Kluyveromyces lactis: one gene and its partner. The protein of the gene in region 1 interacts with the protein of each later gene in a pairwise test. Links are inferred from orthologs where the notes say so. Each region holds a gene or a part of one and is shown in the gene's direction. Other genes may lie near its edges.

The links.
Region 2: the proteins of KLLA0_F20900g (region 1) and KLLA0_E12387g interact in a protein complementation assay, tested with the Saccharomyces cerevisiae proteins (2 studies listed by BioGRID). The link is inferred for Kluyveromyces lactis from reciprocal best matches to the Saccharomyces cerevisiae genes FMP45 and YBL029C-A.

The regions. Positions count from the first base shown.
Region 1 is NC_006042.1:1,948,805-1,952,561, reverse strand, and holds KLLA0_F20900g (SUR7/PalI family protein), read left to right. Parts: upstream 1-2,081; coding exon 2,082-2,894; downstream 2,895-3,757. Other genes in the region: telomere-binding protein CDC13, read left to right, coding at 1-775; KLLA0_F20878g (uncharacterized protein), read left to right, coding at 3,741-3,757. UniProt on the Saccharomyces cerevisiae protein: Involved in sporulation and affects the sphingolipid composition of the plasma membrane.
Region 2 is NC_006041.1:1,093,113-1,096,427, reverse strand, and holds KLLA0_E12387g (uncharacterized protein), read left to right. Parts: upstream 1-1,780; coding exon 1,781-2,056; downstream 2,057-3,315. Other genes in the region: KLLA0_E12409g (uncharacterized protein), read right to left, coding at 1-600; ADP/ATP carrier protein PET9, read left to right, coding at 3,208-3,315.

The DNA.
Region 1 (3,757 bases):
TGACGCCGATCCCATTACTCCTACCACGCCAGTTACCACTGAGGAATACAAGTTATTGAAGCCTCTAAGAAATAAAATATTTAAACGGATGCCATCAGAGGTCATACAACTGTACACGTTAACCATGAGTCGCTTCTTGCCAATATCCAAGAATAGAATGTCTGAGAATCCGCAACTGCTACAGGAACAAGCTTTCTATGACTCTGCCGGTTCCTCAGAAGACCCAAAAGACGATTCAATTGCCAAGCTTGAGAACCAATTGAAGAGGGAAGGTGTTGACAAAATAGAAGAAGACGCTGCTACTCGTCCCATTGAGCTATTTGGTACCCGAAATCCTAAAACTGTTGACATTATTGATATTAAGAATAACGTGCAAATGGATCACAAAGACATCAAAGTTACTGCTAAAATTTTAAGTATTTTCGACAATGGTAACAATGTGACTATATACCTTACTCGTAGTGGCATGGTCGGTACTCAATGTACAATTGAAAACCCTTTCGAAGAACTTCTTAAGGTGCAAATCTGGGGGAGACAGAACTTGACACTTTTCTTCGGGAATCCAAATTATAGTTATAAGAGGGAAGAACTGACCGCCTGCATCGGTTCTATTGTGGACTTCACATTGATACCTAGAGTTCTGCGCGTCAATGAGTATTTATACATCAAAATATGGTGTCCTATTTATGCAACATTGGAGAGCTTACTGATTCACAGCAGATTGGAGTATGATAACGACACACTCAAATACGAAAACCTCTCCGATATTGATTAAGAACTAGGCGTATTTTGAAGTTGATTTCATTACATGAAGAAAGCTTGTCACCGTCATTATACTGGCGTCGCTAGCGGAGGTAGCATTTGTATAATTTTTTAATATAAAATAGAATACTCGTATAATTATGCGTAATAATTTAGAAAGTAACCAACTCACACATAATGCTGATAATCAGATAAGAAGGATACTTCATTTTTTAATATCACTTCTGAGTGCGTTTGACCAAATAACTCTCTATTAATCATAAGTGATGTAATTCAAGCTTTGGCCAACGAAATTCTCTAAGGAAACGTGCAACAAGAAAATCGTAACATATGCATGGCCATTTAGTGTCTTCTCGAAGCTGAGGGAATACGTTATAACACCTCTAAGATCGGGAAACCACAGAGTTGGATTCGAATGCCATAAATATACATGATTTCTAGCCGAAGGAACATTAGTGATTATATAATCATAAATCGCTAAGCAAGGATACGTTTTGTTATCCTTCGGAGATAATCATACAATTCAGAGTATTCAACGTCCAAATGCAAGAGGTCTGAGAAATAGAAATGGCGTTTTGAGCAAGGCAATTATTATCCAACGGAGAACAACTGACAGAATAATCAAAAAAAAGGCTTCAAGTGTCCATTTTGTTTCCTGTAACGAATGGGCACACTATTGAACTGTGAATATTGACTGCGGTTTCTAATTCTCGACAAGTCTCTCATCCAAATGCCTCCAGTTGCCACTCACTGTCTCGTGCAGGATATCTCTACTGAGTGTTTGCTATCACTGCCTTTCTCGACATGGATTATATAAGCCATTTGACACTTATTCTCCGGAGCAAACTTTGGAAAAAGGAAAATGCCGACAGTCGAAAAGAAAACAGAGAAGAAACTCAGTACCTAAATAATTAGGGGAGGTAAGCATTTGAAGAGAAACATCCTGCAGAAGAAACTTTATTGCTCTGAATGACCGCTCAAAGTAGGGCAAAAAGGGTTTCTAAAGGGTGTGTGGCAGTAGGCATTTATGTTTGCTCTTTTCGGCGTCTTGTTTTTGCTTCCGTTAAAGAATAAGGTATACAATTTAAATCTACCGATATTAATTTAAGGGGTTGACTTTGTTATAAAAAGACATCAAGATTAAAGAGTTGACCGTCCAAGTTGAGTTGTAACCTTTTACCTTTTGAGCTAATTTTGGATGAAAGGATTTTTTAATTCTGTTAATTGTTTTGGTGTGATTTTGTTTCTCTCAGTTTGTTCTTCTTCTCCATAATCAAAGCTAAAATAATAACCATATAATACTAATTTTTAATAATATCATGAAGTTCAAAGGGTTCGTTTCTTCGTTATCGTTGCTTTTCTTATTGGGTTCTGGTTTGTTGACGTTTTTTGTTATATTGTCTGGTGCTAGGACTACTGGTGTATTGGACAAATTCTATTGGTTTGAGGCTGACACCAGTGGGTTACCTGGTGCTCCAGATACTACAAGATGGTTCAATTACCATTGGTGTGCTTATGAGAATGGTGAAATCGGAAGTTGTTCAGGCAAACAAGCGGACTTACCATTTTCCCCTAGAGACAATTTTGGAAACAGTCCTGATCTTCCAGCATCATTTAGAGATAATCGTAATACCTACTATTATTTAAGTCGTGTTGGTTGGGCAATGTTGTTGATTGGTTTATTCTTCGTGGTACTCGCATTGATTCCTGTGTTGCTATCCTTTTTCAAGGTTGGTGTCGGTGCGGTATTGTCTACTGTTTCTATTTGGCTGGCTTTATTTTTCATCACATTGGCAGCCTGTTTGTACACAGCTTGTTACGTGAAAGGTCGTAACACTTTCCGTGATGCCGGTCGTTCAGCATCGATGAACACCAAGATGTTCGCATTTTTATGGACCTCAGTGTTCTTATTATTATTAAGTTCGTTCTGGTCAATAATTTTGAGTGTCACAATTGGTGTTCAGAAAGTCAAAGGAGCAAACACTTATCAACCGTATGAGGGTACTAGCTCTCATGATGATAGTTACAACGTCGACAAGCACACATATGAAAGCGGTGTCAATGACAACAACCGTCAAAATATCAAATGGTGGAAACTTCGCTACAAGAAGAAAGACACCGTTGCTGTTTAATTGTAGTCAAAAGTAGTCAAATCAAAATTAATTAAACATAACGACTCGAATCTCAATAAAAAAACGCCATTCACTAGAAAACAACATTTTTTCTCCCGTTTGATACCCATCTGAAACCAATACTAACACATATTAATAATTATTTCCAATTTTCTTTTAATTAGCGTCTACAACAACATTGTTAACAAGGTTAAAAATCTCGAAGGTCATGAAGAGGAATCCAACGATCCTTCCAGAAAGGATTACCAGTCTTCATCAGCTAATCAAGGGAACTTGAACAATTCTCACCAACAAACCACAACTACCTCTGGGACCCAAGCTTACCCTCATGATAATCACTGGCAAACATCTAGAAACCAAGCAGAGCCTGGAACCAACATTGGCCAAAACTACAATGAAAGTTTCCCAAGTGACAGTGATAAGAAAAATTACGGTCTGAGCTATCCATCTTATGGCAATGAAGGCACATTCGATGATCATCCACCTGGGGTCAAAGCACCATCTCATGCCAGAAACTTGAACGACTCGAATGGGCATCATGGGTCGGTACTTGGAGGTAATGAGCCCTTATCCTCGCACCATCCTGGCAGAAACGCTCAACAACAAGAATATGTTAATGTTGGTTCCTCGGATACGCCAGTTCATACCAACGATAGCAAGAGCTATGCAACTACTAAAAATATTGGCGAACCATTGAAATCGGGGAATGGCCAAGAGTTAGCCGGTTCTAGCAAATATGCCGCTAAAGATACCGAGAAGACAGACATTTATGACAGAGATACTCGCCCTCAAAGTGAAGACTCCGGGAAGCACAGAAGAAAGAGTTCTTTCAACAAACATGCTATAATGGCTACCTTAGGTCT
Region 2 (3,315 bases), on another chromosome or scaffold:
TCTATACTCCTTTGTAGTACCCCGGACCCAAGTCTTATAACCCAATGGATAGTGCAATTCCTTTTCGAAGATGTCCAAGATAAATTTTTCCCTGTATAACGCTTCTGCGGGGGAACTCAAATTCAACACTTCAGCCAATCCTCTTGCCGAGAGCCTTGAATCAGACACTTTTTTCGACGAATTGCTAGAGATCGAGCCAGACTGCGAGTTTGGGTTCCCGCAAGGAGATGCAGAAGATGAAGATGGTGGTGTTTGACGGTTATTCTTCGAGTACCGTCTTTGACGGGGTAGCGGCGTTGTCGCCGTCGTCGTCGCTGTCTCGGCAGTGTCGTCACCAGTGCCAGCGGTAGAACTAGCATTGCTAATCCTGCCACTGCTGGCACTGGCAGTAGTATTATCGGTATAATTGAAAGTGTAGGCATCAGCTAAAGACATAGAAAAGTCCGACACCTGTGGTTGTAATTGTAACTCATCCGTAACATCTGACTCCAAATTTGATTCGAGCTCCGTATCTAAAAGCAAATTCGGGTACGCAACGTTACTACTGAAGTCGTATCCTAAACTGAACACATCTGATACATTTCCCTGAGACCACGACATTACGCACACAATGATAGATAGAACAGTATAAGTATATATGGTTCAGGTGTCCATGACTCTGCGCAATCCTATAGTGAATCCAGCCAAATGTCAAACCAAAAAAAAAAAGGTTATAATAGATACAGTAGAAAATTTAAGACACATTGGAAATGTGTCAAACTATATAGAGAAAAGAAATAGAGAAAGAACACAATTGAATTGTACAAGAGCCAATGCTACCACATATATATATATATATATATATATATTAGCACAGCAAGCTATGGGTAAAAGATCAGTAATCTGCTGAATTCCTCTCTTTACCCACACTGTATATGACTACACCATTTTTCTCTTATTCCCACAGTATAGAATTTAAGGTTATAAAGAAAAACGATATCTATTATAGTATAATAAAGATTAGGATTCGAGAAAAATGCATGAAAAGGGGAATAAATCCGTACATGTATGACTACGAAAGCGAATTGATATCGAGATTTTGGAGTGAGATATCAGACGGAGAAACAGAGATGGAGAGCTATTGCCATTTATTCCAGTGGGAAACTGGTCTGGGAAAAAGTGGAGGTCGTTCGCCGTTCCCAAATACTATAGTACTAGATCCCAGCTGTCGCGGTGCAGAACCAATGAACAAGGCAAATGGAGTGAAAACAAAAAAGTATCTCGAAGTCAATCGGAAGTCAGACAGACCAGGAGACAAAGCACGTAGACTGGGTTGTTTTCCTTTTTCCATCTTATCGGCCGCACTTTCTGTTTAGGTTTTTGCGAAGGTATTTTACCTGTTTACTGATACGAGATAGGGATAACGGGCGGACGGCGATTTTGGAGTTTCCGTTTTGGGAAAGGAAATCCCGAGTCAGTTTTTTGAGACATAGGACCCGCTGAACACGGCACGTGTTCAGAGGGAGGGAGGAGATCGCACAAGACAACCGAGTCGTGTTACCCGGCGTGCGCCGGGTAACACTTGCACATCCCTACGTAATTAGCAAAAAAAAAAAGGGTACGAAAAAGAAACTACCGTGCAGGAAATAGAGCCTCTAGCAAATGGCAAAGCCCACTAATTGGTATATATATATATATATATATATGAGCTGCATCCTGGCAAGCTCGGACTTTGAACTCAGGCAGGACTCAGGCCCCACGACCAGGACCCTTAAAATCGAAACACACTAAGTAACCCGCAATGTCATTTGTACCGATCATCTTTGGTAAAAAAGATTGGGATTCCAGACATCCATTGGAGTCTCAGTACAGTGGGATATATTGCCCAAATTGTCATAATTTTCAAGTGAAGCCGGTCAAGAGAAGAGAGTTTATCTCACTTTGGTTCGTGCCGGTGTGCCCAATTTTCTGGGGCAACCAATTGCATTGTCCGATCTGTAATTGGCGCCAAGACTTCAAGACAGAGGAACAGTTGCAAAAAGTGATGAACGAACAGAACAAGTTGCGACAGGCGTAGGCAAGACGGCTAGGCAGGCCAACTAGGTAGTTTGTATGTGTGTGTGTGTGTGTGTGTGTGTATATTATACATAATAAAAGGCTTTCGTTGAGGACGTGCGCCATGGTTACCCGGTTTTGTTTCATATCACGAAACACGAACCAATCAAATAGCACATCACAGAACGTCCGTTTTCGTGGAGGCTAACATTTTCCTTTCGGAAATACCTCCAGGGTGAGATACCGTGTGGTGTATGGGTTAGAAACCCGGGGACGGGATCATCTGCGCGCGGGGTAACAAGTGGCATCCCCCCAAAACTGAGGCAGAGGCAGAATTGCCTCTGCCTCTGCCTCAGTTTTGGGGATATTACACTAGGCTGGCCTTTCCAGGCCAGCCCAATGCCTGGCTTAGTCCCAAGTCCTAAGTCCCAAGTCACCCAGGCGAGGGTCCACCGAATGAGCGAAATAATCCAGATCGAACAAATCCCACGTTAATCCATTTTCCTTCCTTCCTTCCTACTTAACAATCTTCAAGAAACAAAAAAAAAACCCGCGAAACTTGAAAAACTGAAAAAATAAGTTTTACCATACAAAAAATCGTCAATTTTGTATGGTAAATTTACCAAAATTAACGTTTCATAGGGCATGGCCATGAAATTTTTCTTTTTTTCCTCATTTTCCTTTCCTTGGTTTTTCCTACTGTAGAAACACACTGGAAAAAAAAAAAAAAATTCTTTTTTTTTTTCCCATTCCTCTTGTTTCTTTATGGCACAGACTCTCTGCCATATCGAATCTTGACGTTTTCCTCTTTTTAATACCGTTAAAATGCCAAATATCTATGCTATATACCTTTTTATCCTGTGTTATGTATGTATATCTTGACCATATCCAATTCCATTCAATTTGATTTGACTGAGTTTAATTTCCAAATTTTTCAAATTTTCTTTTTAACGGGAAAACGTTAGGGAAAAAAAAATATTTAAAGCGAATGAAAAATTTTAAGAATCAATGTTCTTCCAGGTTTTCCTTGTTCTGTATTAAGACTGGAGTATATATATATTTGTTGTTTTTGATTCAGTTTATTCATTAGTAGAGTTTTATCTATTGTATTTAACTTTTCATTTTAGTTGTTTATTTTACCGTCCCTAACCGATAACTAACAACGTACCAAAGATGTCTACTGACAAGAAACAATCCAACTTTGCTATCGATTTCTTGATGGGTGGTGTTTCCGCCGCCGTTTCCAAGACCGCTGCTGCTCCAATTGAGAGAGTCAAGTTG